Linked DNA regions of Macaca fascicularis. The protein of the gene in region 2 interacts with the protein of the main gene of each other region in a biochemical or structural test. Links are inferred from orthologs where the notes say so. Each region holds a gene or a part of one and is shown on either strand. Other genes may lie near its edges.

The links.
Region 1: the proteins of FYN (region 2) and FASLG form a complex in vitro, tested with the Homo sapiens proteins (4 studies listed by BioGRID and IntAct, with this or other methods). The link is inferred for Macaca fascicularis from reciprocal best matches to the Homo sapiens genes FYN and FASLG.
Region 3: of the proteins of FYN (region 2) and ENO1, one has a biochemical effect on the other in vitro, tested with the Homo sapiens proteins (2 studies listed by BioGRID). The link is inferred for Macaca fascicularis from reciprocal best matches to the Homo sapiens genes FYN and ENO1.

The regions. Positions count from the first base shown.
Region 1 is NC_088375.1:30,271,103-30,273,940, reverse strand, and holds the end of FASLG (tumor necrosis factor ligand superfamily member 6), read right to left. Parts: intron 1,803-2,838; coding exon 1,408-1,802; 3' UTR 555-1,407; downstream 1-554. UniProt on the Homo sapiens protein: Cytokine that binds to TNFRSF6/FAS, a receptor that transduces the apoptotic signal into cells. Involved in cytotoxic T-cell-mediated apoptosis, natural killer cell-mediated apoptosis and in T-cell development.
Region 2 is NC_088378.1:15,714,518-15,718,941, reverse strand, and holds the end of FYN (tyrosine-protein kinase Fyn), read left to right. Parts: intron 1-3,241; coding exon 3,242-3,450; 3' UTR 3,451-3,903; downstream 3,904-4,424. UniProt on the Homo sapiens protein: Non-receptor tyrosine-protein kinase that plays a role in many biological processes including regulation of cell growth and survival, cell adhesion, integrin-mediated signaling, cytoskeletal remodeling, cell motility, immune response and axon guidance.
Region 3 is NC_088375.1:225,985,683-225,989,333, forward strand, and holds part of ENO1 (alpha-enolase), read left to right. Parts: intron 1-408; 5' UTR 409-417; coding exon 418-502; intron 503-3,380; coding exon 3,381-3,476; intron 3,477-3,651. UniProt on the Homo sapiens protein: Glycolytic enzyme the catalyzes the conversion of 2-phosphoglycerate to phosphoenolpyruvate. In addition to glycolysis, involved in various processes such as growth control, hypoxia tolerance and allergic responses.

The DNA.
Region 1 (2,838 bases), on a different chromosome or scaffold from region 2:
TGTGAATGACAAGCATGAGAATACAAGAAACAAGGTGTTTACATGGATCCCACAGATCAGTGGCCTCTGGAGAATGAAGTGGCTCTAATAGGATGGCTTAGTAGTGGTAGAAACCATTTTTTGATATTCTATATGTCTGATACTTTCAGCTCTTTTTTTGTTCAAGGAAGGTCAAGTGACCTAACCAGTGATTACCTAGGCAGTACATGGAAGAACAAAGATTCAAATCTAAGTTTTTTAGTCCAAAGTGTGTGCCCTTTCCACTGTGCCGTAGTTCTGCCTTCAGGAAAATATAATTTCTCATCAAATCCATGGAAAGTTGGGTAAGCTTAACACTGGTCACAATATTGGTAACGGAAACTCTGGGAGGTGAAGAGGAAAGAGAATATATATAGAGAAGGAAGCCTTGGCAAAGGCAGAAAGATTTGCTTCATAATTCTTCTCACCCCAGTAAATTCTTCTTAAAGTTGTCTGACATCATAATGAATGAAGAAACCATGGAGGAAAGAAGTAATAAGCAAAAAAATTCAAGTATTAGTAAATTCTAAAAATTATTTGTATCCTAACATATACTTTTTATTATATGTTTTCTTTTCCCAAAAAGCACAACATATATATAAATATTTATTATATTATAGGAAAACATCTTCAGTAGCTGACAATCAATTATTTCTAAAGACTATTAGAGTTGATTGTCAGGAAGCATTCAAAATCTTCACCAAATGCAACCCATATTTTCCTAATATGTACTTCACAATATCTATATTCTCTCTTTAGACACACACACACACACACACACACACACACACCTACAATTGCACTGGAAATACACAGGCTGTGTTAGGAATGGAATGAGTCCCCAGAATATCTCTCTTGTTTCTATGTTAGCTTCACTGATGGCTCAGGAGATGCGTTTAGAAGTGAAGATGCTGCCAGTGGGGCATTGGCCTCTTTCAGCCTCTTTAGCTTATTATGCAAGCCTCTAGTCCTCCTTTTCCATCCCTTAAACCCTCAGGTCACAACCATGTATCTGAAAGACAGTCCCCCTTGAGGTAGCAAGGCCCACCCTGAGAGGTGAGTTAAAAGGTGTCCTTTTCAATGTGCCCAAATACTCTCAGGCACTAAGATGAGTGTAGAACACCTGGTGGCTGCTTTTTCATGCTTCTGCCTCTTCACATGGCAGCCCAGAGTTTTACGTTCTTCCGTCATATTCCTCCATTTGTCTGGCTCATAAACGTTAGGTGAGTTGAGGAGCTACAGACCTTTTGAACCCTGTGGTCTCAAGGTCCACTTGGTTCACGTCTTCTTACTTGACCTCAAATGCATGTAAGGAGACCCTCACTGAATACAACATTTTCAGTGCCTATAACAAAGAATAATAATGGAAAGAATCCCAAAGTGCTTTCCTTAGAGCTTATATAGGCCAAAAAATGTCTGAGATTCCTCAAAATTGACCAGAGAGAGCTCAGATACATTGACATATAAATGATCAGCACTGGTAAGATTGAACACTGCCCCCAGGTAGCTGCTGTGGGCCCACATCTGCCCAGTAGTGCAGTAGCTCATCATCTTCCCCTCCATCATCACCAGATCCTGGGGATACTTAGAGTTCCTCATGTAGACCTTGTGGCTCAGGGGCAGGTTGGTGCAAGATTGACCCCGGAAGTATACTTTGGAATATACAAAGTACAGCCCAGTTTCATTGATCACAAGGCCACCCTTCTTATATTTCACTCCAGAAAGCAGGACAATTCCATAGGTGTCTTCCCATTCCAGAGGCATGGACCTTGAGTTGGGCTTGCCTGAAATAAATCCGAAAGGAGCTTTCAGCCAGGAATAGTCATGCATCCAACAAACTAAGTTTCTAAGGCAAAACTGTGGGCCCTTCCTTGAACAAATGTTCTACTCAGAATTACAGCCTGTATAGAACTGGCTGAGGGGTCAGAACTTGATCCATCACAGAATTTCCTCAACATTGTTGTCCTATTTTGTCATCCACACAATTAGAACAATAGTATAGTCGCCTAATCCATTGCAGTAAGAAATTATTGAGAAAATATTAGCTCTCTGGAGCACAAAGATTTTATTATCTTCAGAACTAGCACCCAAACTGCTAGGCTTTGAAGTCCTTTCCTGAAGAAAAAAGCCAAATCCAAGGAACTCTAAAATTCTAAAGTTGGGAAGGATCTTAGGGACCATCTGGTCCATCATCTCACCTGCAGTAAGAATTATTCAGCCCCTCAGTTTGGGGTACAGTTTCCTTTTCTTTGTATCCCCACAACGTCATGAACATAACCTAAATCTCTGCAGTACTGAAATTATCATAAATGCCTGTCTTTCCCTATTAGATGTCAAGCTCCCTGAGGGCAAGAGCCATATGCTACTCATTTTCACATCCCCAAATTGGTGCACATCAGGTATTGAGTAAGTGTCTGCTGATGTGACCGGATCATTCTACAATTTCTGCCTAAATAATTCCAGGGACAATAGCCTACCACTTTCTGTGATATTTATTCCATTATTTATGATTTATTTTTTTGGGAGTTTATAATGGGAGTGCCCATACCATATCATTTCACTCCACTTTACAGGCACATATTGAAAGTCTACAAGTGCCAGGAGTGAGTCTCCCTTCTTGCTCCTGTTTATACTCTTGGACAAAGCAGAGTGAAGCTCTTCCAAAAAACCAAGAAAGCGCTGACTAAAACAAGTCCTCATTCCTCACCTTCTCAGCTCTCACCTCTTGGATCTGTGCCCCCAATCACCTAAGGGACTTTGGAATGACTGAAAAGAATGAGCTCCTTATGGGCACGGGTCATGTCATAATCAGCTCCAGGT
Region 2 (4,424 bases):
AATATCCCACTTTCCTGGCAAAGCTATCATTGGTATATTTCCACTTGGCCCAGTGCGTGGAATTGTTTTCATACGCTTCCCATGCTTTGAGAGGTCTGCGCAGAAGAAAACATGAGAAGAGGAGTGGGGAAGAGCAGAGGGGTTCAGACAGGAAAAGGGGGAGAGCGAGAAGGAGCCTGACCCTGTGGGTCTGCCAGGGCCCTGCATAGTCCAGCTTATACCCTATCCCCTGGCCTCCAAATGCCCAGGAAGCAGACTGCCTCGGAAGACACTACATGTTGAGGTTCACATCACCAAGTCTGCTGTGTCCAAGGCTTGGACTGAGCACTGGAAAAATGACCCAGTGGCCAATTAAACTTTCCACTGGCAGACATTGGATGAAAACTTTATTTTTAAGTGAAATCTTTCCGTTTGAGTAGTGTTTTTTTTTTTTTTTTTTTTTTTTTTTTTTTGAGACAGAGTCTCGCTGTGTCTCCCAGGCTGGAGTGCAGTGGCGTGATCTTGGCTCACTGCAAGCTCCGCCTCCCGGGTTCACGCCATTCTCCCGCCTCAGCCTCCCAAGTAGCTGAGACTACAGGCGCCCGCCACCACGCCCGGCTAGTTTTTTGTATATTTAGTAGAGACGGGGTTTCACCATGTTAGCCAGGATAGTCTCGATCTCCTGACCTCGTGATCCACCCGCCTCGGCCTCCCAAAGTGCTGGGATTACAGGCTTGAGCCACCGCGCCCGGCTAGTAGTTTTTTAATGAAATGAAGCACGTACTGACATGCACTCTGTGGAGAATAGGAAAATGATTAAATTCTGTGCTGCCATTTTGGGTGGCGGCACTCAGAGCCAGCGTCAAGCATTAGGAGGCATTTCAGGGGCTGTACCACCCCCAGAAGGATCTGTCAGGCCCTTCTGCCTGTCTCCCCTCCAGTTCCTGTGGGCTCCTGGAAGGGACAGAGACACAGGAGATTTCTGCAGGTCCAAGCTCTGTCGTTGCTGAAATATGAAACCAAGGACTGTACTGAAAGATGCGGCAAGGCAAATGCTTTGGAGAATGCCAATTCTGCTATGTGATTACACACTCTTCCTTCCTAATCTTTCTGGGCAATACGTATGAAGAAATAGAAACAGTAAATAGTGTCGTAACCATTTCAGGTTTTGTGGCCAAATGAGGTCAGTTCAGATCAGTTCTGCAGTCAAGTGAGTTACAAAAACTTGATGGTGTTCAGAGCTTGTTGGATTGCGGAATTGTGGAGAAGGAAATGCTGGCCTCTGACCGCATTTGTCTAGAGCCCAAAGAGAAGCCTGCCTTTCATTCCCGAGCAGCTCCAGTTCCTCCCTTGCTTCCAGCTCCCCCGCCCCCATCCCCCGTTTTCAGCCATTGGAGGAGGATGTAGGCTAATTAGCCACAGTGCTGCCTCTCCCTCTGCCCAAGCAACTGAGGAAGTCACTGGAAAGGCATGCATGGCACAGAGGCAGGGACCCTGACTCCCTCACCAAACCTCTCTCTCTGAAATAAGGGGTCGCCCTGACACGTGAGTGAGGTTATTTTACGACAATTGCATTGAAGGCCTACTTCAGTACAGCAGAAATAATATATGAATTTTTATTATCTCAAGAAATGATCATGGCAGAGAGTAAGAAAGCATCCTGAAAAGGTCTGGAGGGACGTGCGACGGACGGGCTGTGGTTGACAGCCAGGAGGAGCCAGGATGCACTCAGCTCTGCAAGTAACAACACAACCACGAGGACTGGCAACAGACCCCAAAGTCTGAGTGTTCCCTGCCCAGGGGGACAGGCTGTGCTCTGGGCCAGCGCCTCTGGCTGTGCTGACAGGTTTCCAGCTAGCAGGTCACCACCTCCCCTGGAAGTAAAGGGAGCGAGCTCCATGCGTATGGTGTGTGCTCCTGCTGGCTGTAGCCCTGGGAAAGAGGGGAAGAAATCTTGGTTTCTATATGGCTTGACGTCGAGTTCTTGCTCCTGCAAATTAACCAGGTCAGAAATTGGGGAGGATTCCAGATGACAGCCTCACCAGCCAGGAAGCAACCAAAGGATAGCACAGCTTGACAGGGAGCTGCCAGAAGGTGATCTAATGAAAAAGGGAAGCAAAACTAGAGAACAGTGGTCGGCAGTAGTTGGGAAGAGGTCAGGACATTGGCCACCCCCTAAGCATGGTAGTTCCTGTAGTGTTAAGGCGGCCAGTGTGCAGGAGTCCGCACTCTCTAAGGAGTTAATGATCTGTCTTCTGTTAGTGCTATGCAGCCCAGTGTTTCAGCAGCTTCCCCAGAGTCAGGAAGACCTCAGATGATGGATGGCCTGGCTGAGGTCATCAGTAGAGATAGGCCCCGGACATGGTCTGTCTCCCCATCAGATTCACCAAACCTCAGGGCAGTGGGGTCACAGGGCCAGACAGTGCCCAGCCACGCTGGCATGATGGCAGATTTCCCACAGTGAGGAACTAGGAGTTTGCCCAAGCATGAGGAAAACAAATTTATGAAGTTCATAAATGGAGTTTATAAATGCTATAAACAAGGGGCAGCATGCTTTCATTCTGTGTGGATTTTTTTGTCTGCTTTATTCATATATTTTTGTCAGTTTAATTGAAGTATAATTTACACACAATAAAATTCAACAATTTTAAGAATGCAGTTTATTGAGTTTTGACAAACATAAACAGTCACACCACCCCATACATAATATAGAACAGGGGTTGGCAGATCTGGCCCCCAACCTGTGTGTGTTTTGTACATTTTTAAAGGGTTGTTAAAAAGAAGAAGACAGGGATCATATGTGACCCACAAAGCCAAAAATATTTACTGTCTGGCCTTTTACAGGAAAAGCTTGTTGACCCATTGACCCTGACACTGAACATTCCCATCCCACTTGGAGATCCTTCTGGCCCCTTTGCAGGGATTCCTCCCCTCCCCAGGCAGCCACTGATCTGCTTTCTGTAGATGTAGTTGTGCCTTTTCTAGAATTTCGCATAAATGAAATCATACAGTATGTTGCCTTTTGTGTCTGGCTTGCTTCACTTATATTGCTTTGGAGAGTCATTCTGGATTTTTGCATGTCTCGGTTCTGCACTCCTTTATTTCTGAGTAGCATGGCAAGGTTTGACTCCTGGGGGGAATGGGGGCACTTCACATGTTTTAGCCACCTGCAGATGCAAAGAAGAAGAAAGGGGATCTGCAAGTGTGGCGGTCAGGGCCTGGAGCCCCGGGGTGCCCACTCTCACTGCCCTTGTCTTTGCAGGCATGAACAACCGGGAGGTGCTGGAGCAGGTGGAGCGAGGCTACAGGATGCCCTGCCCGCAGGACTGCCCCATCTCTCTGCACGAGCTCATGATCCACTGCTGGAAAAAGGACCCTGAAGAACGCCCTACTTTTGAGTACTTGCAGAGCTTCCTGGAAGACTACTTTACCGCCACAGAGCCCCAGTACCAACCTGGTGAAAACCTGTAAGGCCCGGGTCTGCGGAGAGAGGCCTTGTCCTAGAGGCTGCCCCACCCCTCCCCATTAGCTTTCAATTCCGTAGCCGGCTGCTCCCCAGCAGCAGAACCGCCCAGGATCAGATTGCATGTGACTCTGAAGCTGACGAACTTCCATGGCCCTCATTAATGACACTTGTCCCCAAATCCGAACCTCCTCTGTGAAGCATTCGAGACAGAACCTTGTTATTTCTCAGACTTTGGAAAATGCATTGTATCGATGTTATGTAAAAGGCCAAACCTCTGTTCAGTGTAAATAGTTACTCCAGTGCCAACAATCCTAGTGCTTTCCTTTTTTAAAAATGCAAATCCTATGTGATTTTAACTCTGTCTTCACCTGATTCAACTAAAAAAAAAAAAGTATTATTTTCCAAAAGTGGCCTCTTTGTCTAAAACAATAAAATTTTTTTTCATGTTTTAACAAAAACCAATCAGGACAGGTGTTTGTTTTTGTTTTCTTTTTTATAAATATGAATATATATATAATATATATGTCCCTGTACATATACAATGTGGGTGCTAATGTGGAGACTGTGGCCAGCCTGGGCCACCAAGCTATGGGACCCAGAGGGAGGATTTTACTGTAAGTCAGCATCAAAGCACTGGTGTTATTCTGAAAACACCAGTGGCCTCATTTTTGGCTTTTGCAAAGCATGAATTTTTTCATTTGGATTGCACTTTCCTGGTTCATGACTGTACCTGTAGATGGCTGTTACTTTGACTCTTTTCAGGAACCGCCCCCCCCAGGCTGAATTTACAAGTTCTGTTAGCAGTATTTGCTTCAACTTACTGCCGTTTGTTCTCAAAACTTAAAAATAAGCAAGCAAATGGCTACCGAGAGAACTGGAAGATGGATACCACACAAACTTCTTGTATAAAAATATGAGTGCTGAAATGTTTCAGACATTTTTAATTTAATAAACCTGTAACCACATTTAAATGATCTAA
Region 3 (3,651 bases), on a different chromosome or scaffold from region 2:
CCTCTCTCTTTTTTTTTTTCCTTTTTGCTTACAGAACAAGACCTCAGTTGCTGTGGTTTAACCCATTTATGCCGGAGGTTGCAAATCTTTTTTGTGAAAAATCAGGCCTTGGTGATGACTTGAGCAGTCAGATAAAAATAACTCCACACACTTAGCGTTCCAGTAATGGAACACTAGGCATAAATAGGTTAAGGCCTTTCGGAGCTCGGCCCTAACTACTTACTTAGGAGAATTCCCACTGCTTTCCAGCAGGCTTTTTCCCCCACCCTAATCAACTTTCCTACATCCAGTATTTAATTCAATGCCGATTGTTTGTAGTCCATGAACCTCAGAAGTGATTCCTTGAATGAGTGAGCAAATACAGCATTATGGCTTATGGAAAACATGAACTGTGTGTTTCTCCTACAGAAATTCACCATGTCTATTCTCAAGGTCCATGCCAGGGAGATCTTTGACTCTCGTGGGAATCCCACTGTTGAGGTTGATCTCTTCACCTCAAAAGGTATGTGCCACCTTCGTTTCCAGAGTTGCTTCTACCTCGCTTCATTTTACAAATTTTCTACAAATGCTGGAGCCTTAGGCAAAAAAAAAAAAAAAATATATATATATATATATATATATAAGCTTTTTTTGTATCTGCATATGCTAGTAGGTTGTGATTCCTGACTGTGAGGGTTGGGGGATTTTCAGGCATGGAGCCAGTGTCTTGCTGCTTCCTGGCTTTTTGTTTGTTTTTTGAGATGTCTTGCTCTGTCACCCAGGCTGGAGTGTGGTGGCATGATTTCAGCTCACTGCAACCTCCGCCTCCCGGGTTCAAGCAATTCTTCTGTCTCAGCCTCCCAAGTAGCTGGGACTACAGGCGTGCACCACCACGCCCGGCAATTTTTGCATTTTTGGTAGAGACGGGGTTTCACCATAGTGGTCAGGCTGGTCTCGAACTCCTGACCCCAGGTGATCCGCCCGCCTCAGCCTCCCAAAGTGCTGGGATTATAGGTGTGAGCCACCACGTCTGACCCTGCCAGCTTCTTGGCTTAAAACCACATAAGTTGACTCCTAAGTCAGTTGAGGTGATAGCTCACTGAAGTAAGGTATTACCATACTTTTCCCTCATGAAGTAAGGTGATACCATGAGGGAAAGAGATGAGGGGAGGGCCAGTAGACGTGAATGTAGCACCCTTATCTCTGTGTCTAGAAATCACTCTTTAGCAAGGATCAAGGACAGTTTTTACCTGTGGGCTCTGGAATAGTGCAGAGGCTCTCATTTTTGCTTGGCTGTCAGTCCCCATAGGAGGAGTTTTCTTATGAAAAAATAACAGAATGGTGAAACTCCTTCTTTTTTTTTTTTTTTTTTTTTTTTTGAGACGGAGTCTCGCTTTGCCGCCCAGGCTTGAGTGCAGTGGCCGGATCTCAGCTCACTGCAAGCTCCGCCTCCCGGGTTTCCGCCATTCTCCTGCCTCAGCCTCCCCAGTAGCTGGGACTACAGGCGCCGCCACCTCGCCCAGCTAGTTTTTTGTATTTTTAGTAGAGACGGGGTTTCACCATGTTAGCCAGGATGGTCTCGATCTCCCGACCTCGTGATCCGCCCGTCTCGGCCTCCCAAAGTGCTGGGATTACAGGCTTGAGCCACCGCGCCCGGCCTAAACTCTTTCTTTTAAGAAGAAAATCCAGTGCCTCTGTAGCCCTGTGTTACTTTCAGCACATGGTGCGATGGACAGAGTGGGTGAGGTTGGCAAAGGAGCTTCAGGCAGAATCACTCAGTGGTGCTAAACTCCCAGAGAACTGCCAGTCGGAGCTGAGTCATCGTCTGTGAGTCACAGGCCTGGCAGTGGAACCCCAGCCCTTCCCTTCCCCTTGCACCTCCCCTACCCCTCAGGAAGAAAGGATCCTTGAGGCCCGACTTCATTGGGCTTCTGAAGAATGCCTGTGTTCTGCCTTTGGCTGCTTGCTGTGTGGGCTCTCAAGCACAGTGGGTTTTCTCTAGGACACTCGCTTTATGGGGAATCCTGAGGGCTCTCACAGGATGCTGAGAATTCCCTTCATCCAATAAGATTGGTTTGCTTAGTGAATGGGTGGAACTTTCTGCTTAGAAATTAATGAACTTTTTTTTTTTTTTTTTTTTTTTTTTGAGAGGGAGTCTCGCTCTGTCGCCCAGGCTGGGGTGCAGTGGCCGGATCTCAGCTCACTGCAAGCTCCGCCTCCTGGGTTTACGTCATTCTCCTGCCTCAGCCTCCCGAGTAGCTGGGACTACAGGCGCCCGCCACCGCGCCCGGCTAGTTGTTTTTTGTATTTTTTAGTAGAGATGGGGTTTCACCATGTTAGCCAGGATGGTCTCGATCTCCTGACCTCGTGATCCGCCCGTCTCGGCCTCCCACAGTGCTGGGATTACAGGCTTGAGCCACCGCACCCGGCCTAATGAACTTTAAAGCAACAAAAGACCCCAGACGCTAAAAGATTGTTGGGAGGCGGACATTTTGAAATTGAAATGAATGGAACTTTCTTACATTTATTAAACTGCATTTTATTATGTTTATTCCTTCCCCCCACATCTATCCTGTTTGCCAGTTTCCAGTTGGGCATAGAACTCCCAAAATAGGATTTAGCATTGTCCAAACTGAAGCAAATGAGCTAGATACTCTTCCTGAACCAGTTAAATTCCCTTGATTTTATGCTTAACATCAATATAGTACCTGCCTGGGTGTGATGCTCACGCCTGTAAACCCAGCATTTTGGGAGACCGAGATGGGCAGATACTTGAGGTCAGGAGTTCAAGACCAGCCTGGCCAACATGGTGAAACGCTGTCTCTACTGAAAATACAAAAATTAGCCGGGCGTGGTGGCATGCTCCTATAATCCCAGCTACTGGGGAGGCTGATGAAGGAGAATTGCTTGAACCCAGGAGATGGAGGTTGCAGTAAGCCGAGATCACCCCATGCACTCCAGCCTGGGGGATACAGCGAGACTCTAAAAAAAAAAAAAAAATACCAGAACATCTTCAGTTCCCTGTGTGCCTTGCATTGGATTTCTCTTGGGCAGTGCTGCTGGGGTAATCCACAGGGCACCAACGCGAGCTTGTGAGGTACACATATTTTCCTGGGTCGGAATCTACATTTTAACAAGACCCCCAGCTGGCATGTAGGCTCTGCTATAGAGCACTTTCTTTCTGCTAGAGGAATCAGTCATCTTTGCAGTAAAGTCTGCAGTACAGGATCATAAATATGTGAGAGGCACGAAGAACAGACCAGAGTGTTTAATTCACGCAGGTGGTAGGAGGAAGAAACAGCTCCCTGATGACAAATGCATTTGTGGGCGGGAGGGGACTTGGGATTGTGCTGGAACTGGATTTCTGAATTGCTACTATGACTTTTTTTCTTCTCATCCAGGTCTCTTCAGAGCTGCTGTGCCCAGTGGTGCTTCAACTGGTATCTATGAGGCCCTAGAACTCCGGGACAATGATAAGACTCGCTATATGGGGAAGGGTAAGCCTTAGAACCCACAGCCCATGGCCTCCCTGCCTCCAGCCCCACTCCTGGCCTTGCCCAGTCCTGTCCTTCTCTCTGGGTGGGGCTTGCATTTGCAGGTTTATGGCAGGTAAACCTACCGTAACCCATGATGTTGATGGAAGCAGTGCACCACCACGTGGACAGGAAAGTT